Linked DNA regions of Pelodiscus sinensis. The protein of the gene in region 1 purifies or fractionates together with the protein of each later gene. This does not show direct contact. Links are inferred from orthologs where the notes say so. Each region holds a gene or a part of one and is shown on either strand. Other genes may lie near its edges.

The links. Proteins that work in one complex are often made in the same cells at the same time.
Region 2: the proteins of NDEL1 (region 1) and DYNC1I1 purify together in Homo sapiens (affinity purification with western blotting; 3 studies listed by BioGRID and IntAct, with this or other methods). This does not show direct contact. The link is inferred for Pelodiscus sinensis from reciprocal best matches to the Homo sapiens genes NDEL1 and DYNC1I1.

The regions. Positions count from the first base shown.
Region 1 is NC_134730.1:1,649,652-1,656,943, reverse strand, and holds the start of NDEL1 (nuclear distribution protein nudE-like 1), read right to left. Parts: upstream 3,012-7,292; 5' UTR 2,930-3,011; coding exon 2,864-2,929; intron 1,620-2,863; exon of another isoform or gene 1,470-1,619; intron 1-1,469. UniProt on the Homo sapiens protein: Required for organization of the cellular microtubule array and microtubule anchoring at the centrosome. May regulate microtubule organization at least in part by targeting the microtubule severing protein KATNA1 to the centrosome.
Region 2 is NC_134712.1:211,287,592-211,295,091, forward strand, and holds the start of DYNC1I1 (cytoplasmic dynein 1 intermediate chain 1), read right to left. Parts: upstream 3,007-7,500; 5' UTR 2,874-3,006; intron 1-2,873. UniProt on the Homo sapiens protein: Acts as one of several non-catalytic accessory components of the cytoplasmic dynein 1 complex that are thought to be involved in linking dynein to cargos and to adapter proteins that regulate dynein function.

The DNA.
Region 1 (7,292 bases):
TCCCAAATGGATATCAATACCAAAAAGTTATTAAGGGAACAATTTCTCTAACCTTGAGAAGTTGGAGATAGAATGGTTTGTTATGCCAAGTACACCAGGGATTCTTAACTATTTTGTAGCAAGAAACATGTGACTGACTGTGTTATTGGGGGCGAAAGAGTTGTTGATCTTCTACCCACAAGTCTAAGTCAATCTTTAAGCAGCTAATATTTACAAGAGACAGAGAACACAGAAGTAACTGTGGACACAAGACATCCCCTTTTGCAACAATGAAGATTTTCTGTTATCGTCAGGAGCTATTTTCCAGACTACTCCAGAATCTGTTTCCATCAGGTGAACTGGACCTTTAAAGCACAATTTTCATTCTATCCAAACTGGACCATCCTCTAGTTCATATTAATAGCATAGTTACAGTGTACAGATCAGAAACAACCAAGGTGACAGATCTATTGTAGTTATGTCAGTGCAATTTAAGTATATAGTTGCACAAATCAAAAAGGGAATTTTATATGTTTTAAACTGAACAAGGACAAATTAAATAGAGATCAGAAATCGATTATAACTGACTATTTCAGACACACAACTCTAACCACAAGTGCATACTACAACATACAAACATTCTGCCCAGAGATGGGCACAGAAATCTCTTCACCTGTATGAAATCACAAGATTCCTTGACTAGCAGAGTGTAATATGCACTGCAGAGGCAGCATGCTCCAGCAAAGGGAAGGGGAGGAGGAAGACAAGTGGCAATTTCAATCACCAGCAATCTCTCATAAGGAACAGCAGTGACAGAGACTGCAAGAGCCCTAGCTAGGCGGACGAATGACTGTTGGAATACGGCACAACGTGTGTGTGGGAAGAAGCTGTGAAGTTGGATCCTTCCTTGGGGTTTCAGCAAAGAGCTGCTTGTTCCCACTGCCTTCACGTGCCTCACACCAGATTTGGGATACTTAGTTTAAGCTTTTCAGGGCATCCCTCTCCTGGTGAAAAGTCTCTCCTGAAGAATGGACCAAGTTAACGCCTAAACCTGCCCTTTTCTCTGCAGGAACAGAAATAGTATTTTCAATGACTCACTGGACTTAAGTGCATTTGACATCATGAGCATATTTATGTATCCTAGCAACCATCTGACAGCAAACATTTTGCAGACCTTTCCCTTTTTCCATACACAGCAGTGAGACTACCACTTTTGGCAAGCAATATATAGGAGAGAGAGAAAGAGAAAGACAGAGAGAGAAAGGCAATCCAACCCTACTGCCCAACAGTGCTTTCCAGGCCCTGAGGATTGCCTTCACCAAAAAAAGTAATCCTGAAAGTGGGCTTTAACCATAGGTTTAGTGGACATGAAGGTGACTAACCAGCAGGGACAAACCACATTCAGCATCACAAAAGATAACCATTGAGAAAAATCCACTAAGAGCAGGTTCTCTCACAGACAGCTGACAGGAGCCTCTGTCCCAACCCACCAGTCAGTTGTAGTCAGCATCATCTCAGCTGCCCAGACTGCTGAAGTCATGTGAGCACAGCCCCAGCTCCTCCAACCGCCGCACCATCTCTGTGGGCCCTGAACATCATGCAGTCCCTGTGCCTGGCAGCCCAAGGACCCCCCCCCCCCGGGGACCCTGCGCCCTCAGCGCCTGGCAGCCCAAGGACCCCCCCCCCCGGGGACCCTGCGCCCTCAGCGCCTGGCAGCCCAAGGACCCCCCCCCCCCCCCCGGGGACCCTGCGCCCTCAGCGCCTGGCAGCCCAAGGACCCCCCCCCCCGGGGACCCTGCGCCCTCAGCGCCTGGCAGCCCAAGGACCCCCCCCCCGGGGACCCCGCGCCCTCAGCGCCTGGCAGCCCAAGGACCCCCCCCCGGGGACCCCGCGCCCTCAGCGCCTGGCAGCCCAAGGACCCCCCCCCCGGGGACCCTGCGCCCTCAGCGCCTGGCAGCCCAAGGACCCCCCCCCCGGGGACCCTGCGCCCTCAGCGCCTGGCAGCCCAAGGACCCCCCCCCCCGGGGACCCTGCGCCCTCAGCGCCTGGCAGCCCAAGGACCCCCCCCCCGGGGACCCTGCGCCCTCAGCGCCTGGCAGCCCAAGGACCCCCCCCCCCGGGGACCCCGCGCCCTCAGCGCCTGGCAGCCCAAGGACCCCCCCCCCCCCGGGGACCCTGCGCCCTCAGCGCCTGGCAGCCCAAGGACCCCCCCCCCCCGGGGACCCCGCGCCCTCAGCGCCTGGCAGCCCAAGGACCCCCCCCCCGGGGACCCTGCGCCCTCAGCGCCTGGCAGCCCAAGGACCCCCCCCCCGGGGACCCTGCGCCCTCAGCGCCTGGCAGCCCAAGGACCCCCCCCCCGGGACCCTGCGCCCTCAGCGCCTGGCAGCCCAAGGACCCCCCCCCCCCCCGGGGACCCCGCGCCCTCAGCGCCTGGCAGCCCAAGGACCCCCCCCCCCCCCGGGGACCCCGCGCCCTCAGGTGCCACATCCCCGCTGATCACCGCCCCGCCCGCACTGGGGCCCTAGGCCCTCGACTCGGCCCCCCTGCCACGCGCCAGCCGAGGGGCCGGCCAGAGGCGCGGGGAGGGGCCGGCAGTGCCGGGGGGGCCGCCGGTGAGTGACGCCCCCGTCACTAATCGCAGCTCGCCAGGGCTCCGGCTCCGGCCAATGGCAGGCGGGGGCGGGACCTGCCCCGTTGTCAGTTTACAGCCAATCCCGTGCGCTTTGCGGAGCAGGAACCGCGGCCCCGCCGGGCGCCCCCCGCCCCCGGGCCCCGCGCTCCCTCACGAGCCCCGGGCCCGCCACAGGGCGGCTCCCCGTCAGCCCCCCCGCGTGCCCGGCCCGCCCTGCCCGGAGCCCGCCCGCGCCGCGCGCCCCCCACTCACCGCGCGCAGCCCTGTCACGGCGGCAGCATCTCCCCGCTGCCTGCCCGGCTCCGAAGCCTGCCTCATCCGGGCTCCGCGGGGGCGGGGCCGCCGCTGTGACGGCGGGCTCGGGGGCGGGGCCGGGCCGCACGTCACAGCGAGGGGCGGGGCCGCGGCCCCGACGCGCCATGGGGAGGCGGGGCTCGGGGTGCGGCGGGCTCTGCTGCCTACGCCCCGCCCCGCGGAAGGGGAAGCAGGGCCGGAAATGCGGGTGAAATCGGGAAAGGGAGCCGCCCGGATCCGGTCACGTGGTAGCCAGGCCCCGCCTCGCGCTGGGGGCGCGGCTCAGGGGCGAGCCGGCGGGGGGCGCCCGGCCCGGGTGCAAAGGCGGCTCCGCGCTGGGCGCAGCGGGGAAGAACAGCGGAAGCGATCGGCTGAGAGAGGCCCGTGCACGGGGGGGGCGCTGACCCCCGCCCCCCAGAGGGGAGACCAGCCCCGCCCCCCGCACGCGCCCCGGGGCCGCTAATAGATTCCGTGCGCGCCTGCCCCGGCCCGGCCCGCGGGGGCTGCAGGGGGGCCCCGTGCAGAGGTCCCCGCCCCGGGGCGCGGCGCTGCGTAGACCAGCGAATCGGCCCGGCCCGGCTGGTCATGCTCATGTGAGGTCCAGGAGATCAGGCACCCCCCTAGACGGGCTGCTGTCACCCCACGCTGCTGCCTCTTTATCAGAGGCAGCAGCACAAAGCGACAGGCAGCCAGTCCGCGAGGGGAGCTGGTTTTTAAACCAGCTCTCCTCCTGGACCCCCTGACTCCCTGCACTGCTGCCTCTGATGTGGAGGCAGCAGCACGAGTGGCAGGGAGGTCTTCGGGAGTGAGGCCAGAGCGCACTGGCTGCTGGCGCTGCCCCTGGGGGCTATCTACTAGCCGTGTCACTGATAAGAATTCATGAGGTTAATTGACTATTTAGTTAACCGATATCTAACATCCCTAGTCGAGACCAGATTACCCCATCCCTGGGCTCTGATTTAGGTAAATATACACTATCCCAGCCCAGAGTAGAGGGAAGTGGGGGGGGGGGGGGGTAAGTTGAAGAGCGAGTCTGGCCCACGCTCAACCTGCATTAGCACTTCCTGGTACTACATCTGAAACAGGACCTGGGCTCAGTCCCACAGGATGGGAGCTGCTGCTGTGGCTTGCATGTGGGGTGAGGTCAGTCTCCAGGCTACCCCGTGGCCTCCCCTCTGACTGGGCCAGGAATAGGGCTGCAGTTCTGGGGAAGTGACACGCGATGAGGGTGATTAAAACAAAAACACAGTTTGTGGGTTGCCTTCGTAAAAAGTTTGGGAGCTGCTGATCTGGGGCCCTCAGGGAAGGGACCGTGGCTCGGTGTGGGTTCACGCAGCACCCTGCCCTGACCAGCTCAGATCTTCAGTGACTGCTCCATTGACTGCAGCAGAGCCACCGGGATTTACTGATCTAGGATCTGTCTTAATACGCCCCAGGACTAGTGCCCATGGATGTGTGTGTCTCACTTAGCTGCTCTATGCTCCAGTTCCCTGCTCTGCGACATGCAGCAGATGGTTCCCTGTCTGGCTTGGATGCTGGGGGGCTTGGTTCGTGTTTCCCGGAGGCTATGAGAAGGGCTCTGGGCGGTTTCACTGTCGTTCCTGCTGCGCAGCCCTTGTCTGCCACTCAGCTCCAGCCAGCCTATGCTAAGCCTTTCCCCAGTCAGAGAACCTATAGCGTAGCGATACGGCTGTGTACTAACATCTGGTCCCTCTCTACCCCTTCTCCAGCATGCCCCACCCTTCTCCCTACTCCCCCTCAGTCTTTTGTCTTTCTCCCCCCAAGTCCCGTATTCTAGCTCACTGCACGGCTGCTGTGTCCGGAATATCCGGGCACCTCGCACGCCTTGACCTATTGGTCTCACAGCATCCCTAGGTGGGGGGGAACTTTGCCACTGAGAAATGAGGGCCTGGATCCACAAAGGGACTTTGGCATTGCCTGAGTCAGCATCGTGGGACCTAAACCATCACAGGACCAACATTCGGTGATCCACAAAGCTGAGTTAGGGCCTCAGTGCATGGGGAAGAAACAGGCACCCACGAATGGGACCCACCAAAGCCAGTATGCTGGGGAGGGGGCTACCTCAGCCAGACAGCGGGAGATGCCAATGACGGGTGTGTGCTAAACCTTGCCCTCCCCTGGAGTACGGCACCTAGGCTGGGCTGCAGGTAGGTGCCCATTGGGACAGGTTGGCCTTGGGGTGCCACCAGGAGCTGGAGTACTGCTGAGCCCTCTGACCCACCAGCCTGAGCTGCTTCTCATACTGTGCTGCTGTGAAAAGCTGCAGATCTGCTCCTGGTGCTACACGTCCTCCAGCGGTCACACGGGTAGGGGCACACCCAGCTGCAATACAGGCAGGCCCCTGACCAGTCACTGCATGGCGCGGCAATAGAGAGGCTACAACTTCCCAGTTTAGGACCCCTCACTGGAGTATAGACCCCACATGATGCCATGTGGCACCGCACAGGGAATTGTACCGTGTCAGCTCATAGAGTTCCCCCACTCCCAATGTGGAGAGAAAATGCAACCGCCCCCCTGAGCTCAGATTTCCCAGCATTTCACTCCAAATGTGCTGGTTTGGATTAGCACATCAAACACGTGTATTAATGATTAAAACCCAAGCTTTTAAGGGATTAAAAGTGACAGCAAACAAATCAAAGCAGATCACTTAGTAAAAACGCAAATCAGGCCTAGGATACTGGAACGATAGGATACGAATTAGCAAACTCTCGCCCTGGCTGAGGATAGAACCAGGCTGTAGATTCTCTAGTTTTGCAGCTTGGAATCCTCAGGTTTTCATACATGGGCTAGAAACCCGTTAGCTTGGGGGCCCACACTGCCCCCAGGTCAGTCTTTGTTCCTCAGGGGTTTGGGGAGGCCTCTGGTGTGGGAGTAAAGAACAGCCTCAGACGTCTCTCTCCACCTTATATCGCTTGGACACATGCAGGAACCCTTTGCTGGAAACTCAGCTTGTGGGAAACGTTGCCACCCCAAGATGGATGCCCAGAGTCCTTGCGTACCTTGCTGAGCCATAACGTACCAGGGTCTGGGACAGTCATAGCAAGGTGAGGTTCTTCCAGAGTCCGTTGGCTTTGCTGATGGGCCGTCAGCGTTGTCTGGCTTCTTCAATGCCGCCCCGGAAAGGCTGGTTGTGGGTGTCGCCCAGAGTGAGCACAATTTTCATACAGACCCAGTGTCGATGTTCCTAACGCTAGGGACTGGAGTGACACATGCACACAAACAGAATAGGCAGAATCAACGAATCACAGCCCCCCGTGACACCTCCCATCACCTGTCTTACACAAAATGCATCGTACTGATGCCATGGCCGTGTCATCATGAGATCCCTGACGAACGTGGCATATAATGTCACGTCCCTGCCTCCTAGCAATACGTGCCTGGGAAGGATCCTATTCTGGAATTAGGCGGCTGCCTTGCTCCTCCTGTAGCAGCGGGGGAGGGGGAGCAGGCTGACCTCTCTGCGTAACTTTTAGCCCAGTGGTTTTAGCACTCACCTGGGACGTGGGGGACCTGGGTCGAATCCCTCCCTCTGTGCTGTCTGCACTCGAGAGGGATGGAGCCTGGCCACGGAAGGGAGCCTGCAGGAACCCGGCTTCCCCGCCGCACGTCCCCCAGCTCAGTGGCTGCAGGTGCACAAGTAGGATAATCGTGTTCGGCTCCCCATGAGGCAGAGGGGGAACCGAGCCCAGGTCTAACCGGTGGGCTCGGTTAGAAGGTAGGTGCTGCTTCCCCTCCACTGGCCAGATTCTGAATGGGACCAAGGCCAGTAGGTGGCCTCTGAGTGCCCCTGCCCAGCCCAGGCCCTGCAGGCGAGTGGGGTGCCCCTCCACCTGTCTTCCCCCAGCTTGGGCATGGCTCTTGCGCTGAGGCAGGAGCTAGGCTACAGCCACCTGCTTAAAAGGAGGCAGCAACGCGCACGCCCAGGAGCGGAGAGGTCGGTGCCAGCTGGGCACCTACAGTTCAGGGCAGCCTAGTGCGGGGCTTTGTAAGTCACAGCGGTGACTGAACCAGGCTTTTAGACACAGAAGTGGATCTGGGCCCATGCGATTTTGTGACGAGGGCGGATAATAGCAGGAGCAGGCTCAGGGACCCAGGCTCCAAATGGATCTCTGGTTGGGGCGGGGCAGGGCAGGAGGGGGCGTGGGGACCGGGCACTATTCCTGCCCCTGCCAAACTGTTCCCACACGTCAGGGTCTCCAGGGCCGGCAGCGCAGCTCTCTGAGCCTTCCCCAGCAACACGTATTTAACACAGAGTCAAATTCAACGGGCCCGCTTCTCTGAGGGAAGGTCCCACATGTCCCGGGTCCAAATAGCATCCCTGGAAACAGGCAGAAGGTTAATGGATGATGATCCGCACTATTGTGGG
Region 2 (7,500 bases), on another chromosome or scaffold:
TTGGTTTCTGAGGACAGGACAAGGAGTAATGGGCTTAAAGTGCAGCAGGGGAGGTTTAGATTGGACATTAGGAAAAAATTCCTAACTGTCAGGGTGGTCAAATATTGGAATAAATTGCCAAGGGAGGTGGTGGAATCTCCCTCTCTGGAGATATTTAAGAACAGGTTAGATAGACATCTGTCAGGGATGGTGTAGACGGAGCTTGATCCTGCCTTGAGGGCAGGGGGCTGGACTCGATGACCTCTCGAGGTCCCTTCCAGTCCTATGATTCTATGATTCTATGATTCTACAGTCCCATTTGACCAGCTGCTTCATGTTCCACTAGAGAACACAGAGAAGGGAAGGCACTGAGTTGTTAGGAGTCAAGTGGGCTGAACCCGCCTGCACCTAGAAGTGGCAGGTGCCTGAGTGGAATCTGCCCTGCTACAACAGCCCTTCAGGTAGCAAGGCCAAATGGAAGGCAGAAATCTGGAGGGGCAAGTGACCCCATCTGTTCACCCCACATGTCACCTCTGACTCCTAGTGCAGACCTTGGCTAAGTTTCCCTCCACAGTCCCATCTCTCGGTGTTTGCAAAGAAACCCTTGAAAATGTAAAAGAAGTGCCAGCCTGACTGCATTAGCAGAGAGCCTGAAACAATAGATCTGACAAGTGTGACCTGCTCCATTCATGTCGAGGGTATTTCCTCAACATACTCAATGCTGATACCTCAAATATCAGCATCTACTTCTAAGGTCAGTCGTATCATGAAGATCTACACAAGCTTGAGTGCACCTACACTTTTACCACCCAGCTACCATTTTCCCACAGCCATTGTAACCCCACCTCTTCCTGGGTCTCTCTCTACTGCAGCTGTCCTTAGAAAGCAGGTTCTCACAGTTTGGGGAGGAAAGCAGGAAAGGTAATTCAGATTCAGGCTATATTAACTTGTGTTGGTGTCTACTACTCTTTATGTGCAGTAGAGTCCACAGGAAAGCAGCTGGTCCCACCGTGTGCTTCTCTCTACACTCCACAGAGCCCTCCTGGGACACTTTTATGGGTTGAAGGGAAGTGGAAGGGAATGTGTCACAGAGGTAGAACTCCACTGAGAAGTTTGGCTTTTTAAATGGTGAAAAATGTATGCAGTGAGGACAGCCCCCATGATCCAGGGGTAACATGCTGGATCTGGGTATGAGCTTGTTCCCTTGGGAGCACAGCAGATGCTCCCCGAGGCAGAATTTCAGCCCTTGGGGGAGCTGACACTCCAAATTGTGATTGAGTAACCCACTCTTGCTCAGGCTCAGAGGAACAGCACTGAGCTTTATTGCTCCCCGTTGAGGATTTTGGGGGCAGGGTGAAAGGTGTTCCTGTTTGGACTTCTGAGCATGAAAGGGCAATTAAAAGTGAGTAAGTAAGATTTGGAAGGTGCCGCCTCTGGAAGGAGCATATCCCATTTTCTTAAAAAGGTGGCATGTTAGAAACAGGTGAATAACAATGACAGAAATCCATCCAGTAGCATTGGTAACATTTTCACCCCTGACAAAGGGTGAATTGCACTATAGAAAAGTTGAGCCTGTTCTCTAGGTCATTTTGTTTCCTCACATGTAAAGGAAATCTAAGAAAAAGATCGTCAAGATAAATTACTAGGTGCAAGTGTCCAAAGCCTAGCACATGTCAGGCCTTTCCACTACATCCCTAGTATGCATTAGGTTACAATATTTTGATCTGTTTAGATTCTATAGGCCATAAAGTATTGAAGGTAGAAGATCTTGACTCTGTATTAATATTAACCAATCATATGCTACTTCAGTCTGGTTTTCCACACTGGATCTTAAAAGTGATACTGGTAAATGAAAATGAATCCAAGGCACAGGGAAAAAATGGCTTTCATACCAGGGCAAGGCCTGAGATAATTTAAAAGTGTGGGTTTCTTGTCTTTTGAGAGGGTTCTGGATAGAGTATTACTGCATGGCACATTTGTTATATCTATGCTTTTCCAATCAATAATATATATGGTGCCTACTGATCTTCAGCTACACCAGACTAACAGGGCTACATTTCTATCACTGCTGATCTTAGGGAATTCCGGGCAGAGGATGGACATAGCTATAAAAGCATTTTATTGAGAAATTGATTTAAACTCACTAATCATAGGAAAATGGCCTCTCAGTCCATCCTTTATTAACCCTGCTGTGAAACTAGCGATAAGGGAAGATTGAATATTAATTCTGCAGGCCGAGGTGGATTTAAGTAAGTCCGTGGTTGCTTTTATTAAACAGGAAATTAAACACAGGAACCGGCTTTGATTTAACCTCTTCAGAGCTGACACGAAAACCAAGCACCATAGCCTCTCCTCTCCTCTCCACCCCACCCCGCCTAGTAGGAGGCACCTGCTCTGACGATGCACTAATAGGAATGGGCATGGCTGTAAACTGGGACGAGACCAGGGAGACAGGCGAGAGGGCTGGTGAAACGCTCTGGGAGGCCAGCTAGTGCATCCCCCCGCTAGCAGGTCTGGTCTCTCTAGTTTGAAAGGTGCCGGGCTTTGTCCAGACGGAGCGAGGACCCTCCGATTTAGGAGAGCGTCACTCAGCTGCGGTCACCAGAGCACTTTGCATCCTGTCAGCAACCGCAGAGCGGTCCCGAGCTGTTTCCTATGGGGGGGGGGGCGTTTTCAGTGCCTGTCTTCCCCGCCCTTTTCCATGCAGGCTGGCTGCTTTCTCCAGTGCTAGAAAAGCCGAGCAAAGAGAGAGCGTTTCTCGGCCCCCTGCCCCCTGCCAGCTTTTACACTCGGCATCCCGGGCGCGTCCTTCCCCACCTCAGAGCACCAGGCTCGGGCAGGTGACGCTGCGGGTGGTACCCCCAGAGACACGCGCCTCCCTCCACAGGCTTTACCTTGCTGGGCTCCCGGGCAGCTGTGGAGCGGTTCGGCGCAGCGCTCCCCGGCCAGGGCAGCTGGGAGGAGGTGGACAGAGCCCGGCGCTCCCCGGCAGGTTGACTCCCCAATGGCTGCTGCCGCTGCGCTGTGTGGTGGTGCCCCTCTCTGCAGCGTGATCGCTGCTGCTGCGGCTGGGGAAATGCGCTGCCTCGCGCTGGCCAAGCTCCTCCCGGGCACCGCCGCTTCCCTCCTCCTCCTCGCCCCTGGCACTGACATCTCCCCGCCTCCCTGCAGCCCAGCCCCGCGCATCTTCAGCGAGAGAGGCAGCCCCTCCCCGAGACACACTCACGGGGGGCGGCGGGAGGGGGCGGTAGCTATCCCTGCCAGGCCCTGGCGCTAGGGACTCGGGGGGGGGGGGGGGGCGGAGGGCAAAAGGGACCGGGGAAAGTGTCACATTCAGGAGCATCAGGGTCATTTGTGCTGCTCGAGTCAGTAGCACAAGTCACATCCAGGCTGACACAGGGACACCTAGTCTGCAACTTGAGTGGAAAGGCCCCATTAGTCATGCCTATGACAGGCACCAGGGCTGCCCACCATTTCAAAGCAGGAGAGTTAGGCCACACCCAGCCTGTGTCATTGGGAAGGGGCACATCCTGTCAGTGACCCCAAATATTACAGGAAACTCAAAAGAACATATGTTTGCCCTACAATACAAAGGCACAAGGGCAAATGGGGCAGAAGAATTTGCTGCATCTGGCACACAGCTTGAAGAATGTCCACATCCAGACCCCAGCACAAAGGCATCAGAGGCTCACCGTGCCCCCTACTAGTTAGTCACATTCAGCTGGGCTGCACCAAATCACAAACCTCACCTACAAAAACAAAGCTTTGCAGAGGGACTGAGGTAGGCCAGTTGCTGTTGAAGGCACAGTGGTCCCCAATTGGAGCAAGGTAGCAAATATCACACACCCCACAGATTCTCTCTTTCCTTTAAGTTCTCCTAAAAGCTATTGTGCCTTGGACAGGAAGACCTGGAAATAGGCTTTAGTTAAGATATGAAATATAAGTACCAAGCTGAGGTGCCTCAATTTTGGGGTGTTCAACTTGAGACACCATCTGAAGAGCAGAACCCTTTTTGCTGCTTCCTTCTTCAGAAGCTGTCCAGGAATAGGGTCAAAGTGGTCTTTTACTGTCATGCCATGTTCCTGAATGGACAAAGCCAGACCATTTCATCATGATAGCAGTAGAGAAATATCTGTCTACTTTTATTGTTATTATGGTAACACTGAAGATGTATTAGGCATTTGTCAAAAACAGGAAAACCAAGTCCACACTCTTTGGTCTTCCAGGTCAAAGATGTAGTGTTTAGTGACACTTTACTGGCCATTTCAAAAGATACATGATACATTATTAACCTAAATGCTGTTATATATTTTTTTGAAATGCCATTATATTTGTTACAAATTAATACAATTCCATGTTTCAGCAATTGCTCACACCACACTTCCTTAAAACCACAATACACCCTGGCTACGTATAGACTACATCCCATTTTCGTAAAAGGGATGTAAATTAGATGTATCGCAATTGCTAATGAAGCGGGGATTTAAATCTCCAGTGCTTCATTAGCAAAAAAATGGCTGCCGCTTTTTTTTTGGCACGGAGCTTTGCCAGAGAAAAGCACCAGTCTAGATGCTGATCTTTCAGAAAATAAAGCCTTTTACAAAAGATCTCTTATCCCTTATTTCAAGAGGGATAAGGGATCTTTCAGAAAAGGCTTTATTTCCCGAAACATCAGCGTTTAGACTGGCGCTTTTCTCCGGCAAAGCTCCTTGCCGAAAAAAAGCAGCAGCCATTTTTATGCTAATGAAGCATGGGAGATTTAAATCCCCGCTTCATTAGCAATTGTGATACGTCTAATTTACATCCCTTTTACGAAAAAGGGATGTAGTCTAGACGTAGCCCCTCAATCCCCATAGAGATGCACTTTTTTATATGTCCTACCCCTGTGCTTCAGCATAGGGACATGTGCTACATCCAGGTCAGTTGGGGCACATCTACACAGCAGAGCTAAACTAGCTAATTGTGTAGCTTAAGTCAAAATAATTTATTTCAACTTTTGGTGCCGTCTACACAGCAGTTATTTCAAAATAGAGTACTCTTCCCCCAACTTCCCTTCCTCCTCATACAATGAGGGTTACAGGAGTCGGAGTAAGAAGTCCTCCAGCTCAACATTATTTCTACATTATGTCTAAATAATTGCTTGTGTGTAGATGCAGACTATGTTATTTTGGAATAGCATAAGTTATTCCAAAATAATGCTGCTGTGTTGACATAGCCTTGGAATAGGAAGTGGTTACATCAAGTCTATAGCTTCATTGTTAGATGACACTTACTCTATCCTAACGATGCCACAATTCAATGTCAAAAGGGAAGGTACAGAAGAAAACAAATTAATAAATAGCAACAGGTTGCCAGTGAAGTCAGTAGGGGTATGTCTACACTACCCCGCTAGTTCAAATTAGCGGGGTAATGTAGGCATACCGCAATTTGCATACGCCGAGTGCCGCCATTTTTAAATCCCGGCTGGTTCGAACCCCGTGCCACACGGCTACACGCGGCACGAACTACCGTTACTCCTCGTGGAATGCCTACCTAGTTCGTGCCGCGTGTAGCTGCGCGGCACGGGGTTCGAACCAGCCGGGATTTAAAAATGGCAGCACCCGGCTTATGCAAATGAAGCCCGGGAAATTCAAATCCCGGGCTTCATTTGCAATTGCGGTATGCCTACATTACCCTCCTATTTCGAAATAGGAGGGTAGTGTAGACATACCCCTATAGGAGTCTATCATACAAAATTTTGAAAGGAACTTTAAGAATAAAATTGCTTATGTATAATAAAACAGCTATTATATTGAGGGATGGAGAGAAATAAATGTTGTTGTTGTGCCTATCTTTACAAAGGTACTTTAGGGGTGCTCCTGGGAATTACCAAACCTAGGAACCAGTCAGAAACCTGTAAAATTAATCAACGCAGTGAGCCCTCTACTCCTTGTGCTCTCTGATTTCTTACCTTCTCTACCTCTGCACAATATGGCTTGTCATTTTTGTTGAATTCATGATCTAATTTAGACTACAAGCTCTAAAGGAGAGTCAAGAAAACATTATTAATAATATCTATTTCAGCATCAATTCATAACAAACAATACATTTTTCATCATCACCCACAGTCTGTCCCAATTCTGTATCTTCACTTTTAATTAATACCTGTAAAATTTTGCAAGTAGTTATGTTCAGCCATGTGATATTAGACAATCATTTAGCTAAATAATTAATGATGTCTAAGGTGACTATGCAATAGGAGAGATGCCAGGTTCTTAAAGTTCCCTGAATTCTAAATTTCTCGACTTCTGAGTTCAAACAGCAGTGGTTTTAGGCCTTTAAATGTATTTTTAGGTCAGCATTTTGAAGCAAGATAATGAATCTTCAGAAATGGATGAATCATAGAACCATAGAGCTGGAAGAGACCTCAGAAGGTCATCAAGTCCAGCCCCCTGCCCTAGGCAGGACCAGTCCCAACTAAATCAACCCAGCCAGGGCTTTGTCAAGCTGAGACTTAAAAATCTCTAGGGATGGAGACTCCACTACTTCCCTAGGTAACCTATTCCAGTGCTTCACCACTCTCCTAGTAAAATAGTTTTTCCTAATATCCAACCTGGACCTCTCCCACCTCAACTTGAGAGATCTGAGATGTTGTACTCCATCCAAAAGAGGGCAATGACAGAAATATGAATAATAGCCAGTATATTAAAACACTTCTCATTCCCTTTGTCACACAAATCTGAGATTTAGGTACAAGCTTGGCCAAAGCATATGTAAATATAATGTAAAAAAATGCACTGTAATAAAATGATTAAACCTCCAGGCTACGTCTACACTGGCCCCTTTTCCGGAAGGGACATGTAAATTTCAGCAGTCGTCGTAGGGAAATCCGCGGGGGATTTAAATATCCCCCGCGGCATTTAAATAAAAATGTCCGCCGCTTTTTTCCCGCTTTTAAAAAAGCCGGAAAAGAGCGTCTACACTGGCCCCGATCCTCCGGAAAAAGCGCCCTTTTCCGGAGGCTCTTATTCCTACTTCAAAGTAGGAATAAGAGCCTCCGGAAAAGGGCGCTTTTTCCGGAGGATCGGGGCCAGTGTAGACGCTCTTTTCCGGCTTTTTTAAAAGCCGGAAAAAAGCGGCGGACATTTTTATTTAAATGCCGCGGGGGATATTTAAATCCCCCGCGGATTTCCCTACGACGACTAGTGAAATTTACATGCCCCTTCCGGAAAAGGGGCCAGTGTAGACGTAGCCCCAATGTCTGTCTATATCCCATTCTCTATCACATGCACACTTGTAAAATATAAATGATACGGTCATGTGTGGAAGGTCCAACATTTGATTGTTTCTTATATTTATGAAGTCCATATACAACTATATTTTAAAATGAATAATAATTTGACAATCTTTTTTACAGTTTATTACTGTAGTTTGTTGAAATACTAAATATTAATGAAAAAAAATCACATTAGGTTATTATGATAAACAATGTGATACACAGCAACAGTTGACCCAACAACCTCTTTATGCTATATGGGAGAG